2 linked regions of the Sus scrofa genome follow. Each later gene encodes a partner of the first gene's protein in a complex. Links are inferred from orthologs where the notes say so. Each region holds a gene or a part of one and is shown on either strand. Other genes may lie near its edges.

Region 1 (4,480 bases):
CTTTCTTTTCTTTCTTTCCTTCTTTCTTTCTTTCTTTCTTTCTTTCTTCTCTCTCTCTTTCTCTCTCTCTCTTCCTTCCTTCCTTTCTTTTTTCGCTTTTTAGGGCCGCACCCATGGCATATGGGGGTTCCCAGGCTACAGGTGGAATTGGAGCTGTAGCCGCTGGCCTACACCACAGCCACAGCAATGTCAGATCTGAGTGGCATCTGTGACCTACACCACAGCTCAAGACAACCCAGGATCTGCAACCCACTGACCAAGGCCAGGGATCGAACCTGCGTCCTCATGGGTGCTAGTCAGATTCGGTTCCGCTGAGCCAGGACAGGAACTTCTCACTTAAGTTTTCATATAGATGTACTCTTAAAAAAATTTTTAATGCATTTATTGAAGTTACCTTTATATCACAGACAGCATAAGTGGTAAATCAGTATCACTTGCCATGAAGAATAAAAATCCATATTTTATTGGGCGCAAGTGTTCTTATTTAGTATTCCAGATAACCTAGCAGGTAGGTGCTTTTATTGTTAACATTCTTATAGCGAGGAAACTGAAGCCTGGAGAGGTTAATTAAGCTACAGGCCCACCCGCACAGAGCTAGAGTGGCAGAGCTGGAGTTCGTATCTCTTCCCGAGAGCTTCACGCTCTTTCAGATTGGCGATAACTAAAAAATAAAGACAATGAAAATTCAAGTGGGTAGACAATTCTAACTGGATCCTGCGCTGCCTTAATGTGAGGCCCGCGCCCTGTGAAGTTAAAGGGACAAAGAAGAGCAGGTCGTGGACAGCAGACACGCACAGAAATCGACAAAACTAGGCGGATGGAGGGGACTGCGAGGGGGGTACCGGCCAGATAGGCTTCGCGGTGATCCCTCGCCCGATGCCCAGCTCTATGCCCACGGGCGCCGAGGCACCTGCGGGAAGGGCGGGGAATCGAGACTCCTTCCCCGCCGCGCCCTCTCCGCCCTCTCCCCGCCTCCTTCCCGGGCGTCCTGAGGCTGCCCCCCCACTCGACGGCCGCGACCCCGAAGGCTGAGCCACCCCAGAACCAAGGCCCCCCCGCGACGGCGGAAGCGCCCGCGGGCCTCTCACAAGGAAAATTAGTCGAGAGCCGCCCCCGGCCGGGCCGAGGCCCTTAGGGCTTCCCGGAAGCTCGGTGAGCGGGTGGCACCACGGTGCCCCAGAGCCGCCGCGGAGCCCAGGCTTCCCCACCTCGTAGGGAGAGCGGCAGAGGCTACGCGACGACCCAGGTGAGCGCGGCGGCAGGTCGGCGGTGGTGAGGGATGCCCACTGATCCCTGGTGCGGGGACGGGCTGGGCCTCGAACCTGGGGCTCTGATTCTCTGCGGCTCCTACCACGAGTTTGGGAGCGCCGAGCGCTGCGGTCATTGGCCCCGTCGCAAAGACCGCTGTGGTCGCCGCGCTGAGGCTGCGCAGCTGGGCGACAGCTAGCGTGGGCGGGGTGGGGTGGGGAGCGGCCCCTCCGCTGTCCCCGCCGCTCGAGGAGGCCGGGGGCCGCCGGGACTTTTATTCTGACACGGCCGGCGCCCGGCTCTGCTTAGTCATGGTGACCTGCGCGCGTTCCGCACCTCCCCCCTGCACGCTGCGATGGAGGCGCCTGGGCCTGGGCGACGGAGGCGGAGCCCGAGAGCGGCCATGGCGGGGTGAGTGAGGCGGCCTGCGCCCGGGCGGCGGGTACCGTGGGCCGTGAGTGCCCTGCGGCCGTGCCTGGGGGCCGGAGAACTGCGCGTTGCGGGCCGGTCGCCTCGGGGTTCCCGCGGCTCCGCGGAGGCCAGAAGGGTGCGGTTCGAGTCGGAGCCTTTTGTTGGACGGCGCAACTCGCGGGGTGGCCCGAGAGCGACGCAAACCGAGCCAAGGGCCCAGGGAGCGCCGCTCCGACCAAGGCCGGGGGATTCCGGGACGTTGGGGGGCTTGGTCTTCGCCCTGGGGCTGGCAGTGGAGAGGCGGCGGCGGGGTCACTTCCTCCCTTTTCCAGGCCTTGGCAGCTCAGGCAGGACATGCGCAGTCTCCCACTTACCGCTTCATGGGGGTGGCGGGGGAGTGCCCAGGGCCCAGGGGGCACCGTTGGCCGATTGGCCCATGACCAAGAGGCCGGCCTGGGCCTCAGCTGGGGAGAGGCGGCCATGGCCCGGTGGAGGAGGGTGATCTGGCAGGCACACTGGAGTGGGCAGTCAGCCAGCCATAGCTCATTGACCCCTGCACGGTGCCAGATCCCAGGCAGAGAGGCACAGGAGAGGATGGGCACAGCCCTGACCTACACAGGGCTACCTGTCCTCAGAAACCTGGGGGCTCAGGGCCAGACGGATGGGCCATCCTTCAAGGAGGAAGCAAAGGAGCTCATTTCAATTCTTGACAAGTGCTGTGATGGAAATAAAGCAGGGAGGAGGTGACTGAGTTGAGCCCAGGGAAAGATGAGTTAGAGAAACTTGGGGAGCCTCTTGCAGATTCCCTCCTCCCTGAAGGACTTTTCAAAACACAGCTCCTGCCCTGGCTGTCGAGTCTCCACAGGTTTCTTGGAAACCCTTCAATAGTCATTATGCTCATTATACTCCTTACCGATTTTTCAGATTGCCTGTCATTCTGCCTCTGAGCCTTTGCACTTGCTCTCTCTCTGCCTAGAAAACTCTCATCCCACCCCCACCTCCTTCATATGTTCACCCCTCTTGTCTCAGCACCAACAGAGGCCTGGAATACCTGAGTTAAAGTAACTGCCCTCAAGTCACACTATCACAATGTGCTGTCATTTCCTTCAAAGCCTCAATTTTTGCTCAAGTCTTGCTTATTTTACTTATGGCTCCTCCATTCCCAAGTGTCAGCTCTAAGGGAGCACAGTGTATGTCAGTCTTACTCACTGCTGTGTCCCTGGTGTCTAGAACTGTGCCTGGTAGTGGTCCACAGTAGATGCTCAATAAATGTTGGTGAGGTGAATGAAGGAAGGAGATGGATATGCCCTAGGAAGGGAAGGACCATCAGATAACTGGAACAGAATGAGCAAAGGGGACAGGTGGACAGGAGCTGATTGTGAAGGGCTTTGCCAGCCATTGAAGAGTTTGGTTTTACTCTGTGCCACAGGGCTTGGCGGGGGGCAGTGTGGGGGGGATTCTGGCAGGGGAGGGACATCATCTGACCTATGATATAAGGTGGACCCTTGGGCTGGTGAGGCCATTGGGCAGTTAGCACAGATGGACACTGCTTCACCTGGGCTTGGGAAGGAAAACTGGTCTAGGAGTTGCTTTATTTTAGAAAAGGCTTGGCCCCAGGCCCTGCCCGCAGCCCTGTGCTCTCCCTCCTCCAGGCCTCTGAGTGCCAGTGGTGGTGTTGTCCCTTGTCATCTGGAACCCCATGCAACCGGAACCCAGGCCTAGTGGGGCTGGGGCACACACCCAATTTCTGCCCCTGAGGTCACAGCGCCCCGAAGGGGCAGGGGACACGGTGATGTACGCCTCCACGGAGTGCAAGGCTGAGGTGACCCCCTCGCAGCACGGCAACCGCACCTTTAGCTACACGCTGGAGGACCACACCAAGCAAGCCTTTGGCATCATGAATGAACTGCGGCTCAGCCAACAGCTATGCGATGTTACGCTGCAGGTCAAGTACGAGGATGCACCAGCTGCCCAGTTCATGGCCCACAAGGTGGTGCTGGCTTCATCCAGCCCTGTCTTCAAGGCTATGTTCACCAACGGGCTGCGGGAGCAGGGCATGGAGGTAGTGTCCATTGAGGGGATCCACCCTAAGGTCATGGAGCGCCTCATCGAGTTCGCTTACACGGCCTCCATCTCCATGGGTGAGAAGTGTGTGCTCCATGTCATGAATGGTGCTGTCATGTACCAGATTGACAGTGTGGTCCGTGCCTGCAGCGACTTCCTGGTGCAGCAGCTGGACCCCAGCAATGCCATTGGCATTGCCAACTTCGCCGAGCAGATTGGCTGTGCCGAGCTACACCAGCGTGCCCGAGAGTACATCTACATGCACTTTGGGGAGGTGAGTGAGGGCAATTGACATGGATCCAGGGCTTGGGAGCAGTGTCTGAAGAACCAAGGACAGATGGGAGCTCATTTCTTTTTGAGATGTGAAAGGTCAAGGCAAGGAGCTGGAGAAAAATGGGGTTCTGAATTCTTATTCTACACATCTTGGGCAACTCTGGGGAACAGCTCAAGAAAGTGAGGCCTTCATAGGTCCCTGGGCTCCTGGTTTCTCTGGGGTCAAAGGTGGGGACAGGGTGCAGTGAGTACGTTGGCATTTCCACACTGGGGTGCACTGAGTAGGGCCCGACATTTCAGGCCGTCAGCAAATATTTATTGAACACCCATGATGTGCTGTAGACCGCAAGTGTGACCCTTAGACATGTTTTCTTTGGTCCACATAGTGTTGTTCTTACACTATTCTTTGTTTCGTTTTCATTTTTAAGTGGAGGAAGTTGTGAACAGAAAAAATAAGTGCTTATCGAGCACTTACTGTGGACCA
Region 2 (3,811 bases), on another chromosome or scaffold:
GGAGCATGAGCTGGAAAAACAGAGAAAACTTGAGAAGGAAAGACAAGAACAACTCCAAAAGGAGCAAGAGAAAGCCTTTTTCGCTCAGTTACAACTAGATGAAGAGACAGGCGAATTCCTCCCAATTCAGCCAGCACAACACATCCCGTCAGAAACCAGTGGATCTGCCGACTATTCCCAGGTACAGGGTACTTGGTTCTTGGGAAGGTGCATGGCAGGGTTTAAAGAACAAATAGCGACTCAGGAGTTAAAACATCTGAATTTGAGTTCCAGCTTTGCCTTTTACTGTTAACAACCTTAATAAGTCAACTTCCCAACCTTGGCCTCCTGATGAAGTTCAAGCCTTGACTGACCTACCTCAGAGTATAAGGATTAGGACATAAATTACATGAAGAGAGATTTATAAACTGTAAAAACATCACGTAATTTGAACATTTGAGATATTGAAACATTTAATCAACACAGTATATGAATTAATTGCCATTATCCTACTTTATCTACAGATGAGCAATCGGAGCTCAAAGAGGTTAAATGACCTGCCCAGAAATTGGGGGAGCCAAGATTTGAAACCAAATAGTCTGGTTTGATTGTCTGCTCTTTATTAAAATGACTTTTGCAATAAGAGAAATGTCTGATTAACTAGACTGTAAACATTGTATGAACACTGAACAATTTTTTCTTCCTGTATATCTTTCCCTTTTATGCAGGTAGCCCACATTCCCAAACCAGATGCTTTGTATTTTGTTGACTGCATGCAGCTTTTGGCAGAGACATTCCCATTTGTAGATGACAATGAGGTATTAACATTTGGTTAACAGCAAATCTTCACACCTTATATATCCTATATTGATCCCTTTGATATGTCTTCATGAATGAAAAACAGTATTTTAGGAGCAAATTTTATCATGGAAACTTTGGCCTATAGGTAACTTTACAATTGGGGAAAAAACAAAAACAAAAACCACATAGTACAAAAAACGTTTACTCCTGCATAGCCAGAAGCATGGATCAGCAGAAACATTTGTTATAGTACTTAAAAATAAATTCCCATGTGTAAAAAGCAAGCTTACCAGGTAGTAAACCAAGACTTGTTCAATTAAGTTTTAATAAATTTATTGTTTAAACACTATACTAGGTATTACATAGAAAAATACACATTAAATTCTAAAGACTGTTCTTTTTTGAAGTTTATCTTCAGTGTACAGGATAAAGCCATTAAGCTAGTAAAATGAGTAAATCTGGAGTCAGTTGGACAAGGAAAAAAATGTGTTTCATTATCTAGAAATAGAAGTCACCATTATTAGGGAGTTCCCTTTGTGGCTTAGTGGTTTAAGAACCTGATATAATCTCCATGGGGATGTGGGTTTGGTCCCTGGCCTTGGCCAGTGGGTTAAGGATTTTGCCTTGCTGCAACAGTGTAGGTGTCAGATGTGGCTGGGATCCTGTGTTGCTGTGGCTATGTAGGCTGGCAGCAGTGGCTCCACTTTGACCCCTAGTCTGGGAACTTCCATATGCTGCAGGTGTGGCCATAAAATGGTAAAATAAAACAGTCACCATTATTAGTAGATAAATATCGAACTGTAGCCTATTCCAGTTTAAGATGGGATACCCATTTTGCTGGGTGGCAGATTCATGTAGATAAATGCCTTCTCAATTTTAGGTTTCTTCGGCTACATTTCAATCACTTGTTCCTGATATTCCCAGTCACGTCGAAAGCCCAGTCTTCATTGCTCCTAACCAGGCTCAGTCCCCTGAAACTCTTGTCAGTCAGTTAGCCACTACTGAGGTAGACGACATGCAACAGGATATTGAGCAAGTTTGGGAGGAGCTATTATCCATTCCAGAATTACAGGTAACTAAGATCTAACATAATAAATACCAAAGATGCTATTTTATATTTAGTCCCTTCAGTAATCCCAGTTATTTATATACTGCCTACTTAAATGAAGGATTAGAGTGAGCTTTTAGTCCTGAGAGCTGCCTATGCTCACTTCAGTGAACTTTTGTTAGTTCAATGGACTGGTATCTTGAGGACAAATAAAGTTACAGACCTGAAGTCTGGGAGTTCCTGTTGTGGCTCAGCAGTAACGAACCCAAAAGGTATCCATGAGAATGTGGGTTCAATCCCTGGCCATGACCAGTGGGTTAAGGATCCGATGTTTCCATGAACTGTGGTGTAGGTCGCAGTCGAGGCTCAGATCCCATGTAGCTGTAGCTGTGGCATAGGCTGGCAGCTGCAGCTCCAGTTGGACCCCTAGCCTGGGAACTTCCATGTGCCACAGGTGAGGCCCTAAAAAAGCAAAAGTAATTAATTAACCTGAAGTCTGATCTGGGAACTCTGAAAATACATATGCTTAGGCACAAACATCTGTTGGAAATGGGAATTATTTCTGAATTACAGAGAAGTTTGGAGACAATATAGGTGGGGGGTTTTCCATTGGGTATGGATTATCAGCTATTAAAAATATTTAACCTTGATTTACGTAGTGTAAACTTCTTTTCCACACAGTGTCTTAATATTCAAAATGACAACCTTGCTGAGACTAGCACGGTTCCAAGTCCAGAAACCAAACCGACAGAAATTGACAACTATCATTTCTATTCACCAAATCCCTCACTGGAAAAAGAAGTAGGTAACTGCAGTCCACATTTTCTCAGCGCTTTCGAGGATTCCTTCAGCAGCATCCTCTCCACAGAAGACTCAAGCCAGATGACAGTGAACTCATTAAATTCATACGCAACAGGAAACACAGATTTTGGTGATGAATTTTATTCTGCTTTCATAGCAGAGCCCAGTACCAGCAACAGCATGCCCTCCTCTGCTACTTTAAGCCAGTCACTGTCTGAACTTCTGTATGGGCCCATTGATCTCTCTGATCTATCTCTTTGTAAAGCCTTCAACCAAGACCACCGTGAAAGCACAACAGCAGAATTCAATGATTCTGACTCTGGCATTTCACTAAACCCAAGTCCCAGCATGGCATCACCAGAACACTCAGTGGAATCTTCTATCTATGGAGACACACTGCTTGGCTTCAGTGATTCTGAAATGGAAGAGTTAGATAGTGCCCCTGGAAGCGTTAAACAAAATAGTCCTAAAACACAGCCTGTACAACCTTCTGGGGATACAGTCCAACCCCTGTCACCACCTCAGGGTAATAGTGCTCCAGTGTGTGATGCCCAGTCTGAAAACACACCAAAGAAAGAAGTGCCTATAAGTCCCGGTCATCGAAAAACCCCATTCACAAAAGACAAACATTCAAGCCGCTTGGAGGCTCATCTCACAAGAGATGAGCTAAGGGCAAAAGCTCTGCATATCCCATTCCCTGTAGAAAAAATTATTAACCTCCCAGTTGATGACTTCAATGAAATGATGTCCAAGGAGCAATTCAATGAGGCTCAGCTTGCATTAATTCGAGATATACGTAGGAGGGGTAAGAATAAAGTGGCTGCTCAAAATTGCAGAAAAAGAAAACTGGAAAACATAGTGGAACTGGAGCAAGATTTAGATCATTTAAAAGATGAAAAAGAAAAATTGCTCAAAGAAAAAGGAGAAAACGACAAAAGTCTCCATCTACTGAAAAAACAACTCAGCACCTTGTACCTTGAAGTCTTCAGTATGTTACGTGATGAAGATGGAAAGCCTTACTCTCCAAGTGAGTACTCCCTGCAGCAAACAAGAGATGGCAATGTATTCCTTGTTCCCAAAAGTAAGAAGCCAGATGTGAAGAAAAACTAGATTTGGGCATATCTGACCTTTTCTGAGCTAGTGGATTTTTTTTTTTTAATACTAAAAGCTCCTACTGTGATG

Evidence for each region.
Region 2: the proteins of KEAP1 (region 1) and NFE2L2 are in contact, whole or in part, in a crystal structure (PDB 3WN7), measured with the Mus musculus proteins. The link is inferred for Sus scrofa from reciprocal best matches to the Homo sapiens genes KEAP1 and NFE2L2. Residues at the interface, in NP_001103775.1 of Mus musculus: Tyr334, Ser363, Gly364, Arg380, Asn382, Pro384, Asp385, Gly386, Asn387, Asn414, Arg415, Ser431, Gly433, Cys434, His436, Ile461, Phe478, Gly480, Arg483, Ser508, Gly509, Tyr525, Gln530, Ser555, Ala556, Tyr572, Phe577, Ser602, Gly603; in NP_035032.1 of Mus musculus: Leu19, Ile22, Leu23, Arg25, Gln26, Asp27, Ile28, Asp29, Leu30, Gly31, Val32, Val36, Phe37, Phe39.

Annotation. Positions count from the first base shown.
Region 1 is NC_010444.4:69,286,578-69,291,057, reverse strand, and holds the start of KEAP1 (kelch-like ECH-associated protein 1), read left to right. Parts: upstream 1-1,548; 5' UTR 1,549-1,659; intron 1,660-1,665; exon of another isoform or gene 1,666-1,795; intron 1,796-3,311; 5' UTR 3,312-3,358; coding exon 3,359-3,997; intron 3,998-4,480. UniProt on the Homo sapiens protein: Substrate-specific adapter of a BCR (BTB-CUL3-RBX1) E3 ubiquitin ligase complex that regulates the response to oxidative stress by targeting NFE2L2/NRF2 for ubiquitination.
Region 2 is NC_010457.5:82,974,059-82,977,869, reverse strand, and holds part of NFE2L2 (nuclear factor erythroid 2-related factor 2), read left to right. Parts: coding exon 1-181; intron 182-707; coding exon 708-797; intron 798-1,660; coding exon 1,661-1,852; intron 1,853-2,509; coding exon 2,510-3,739; 3' UTR 3,740-3,811.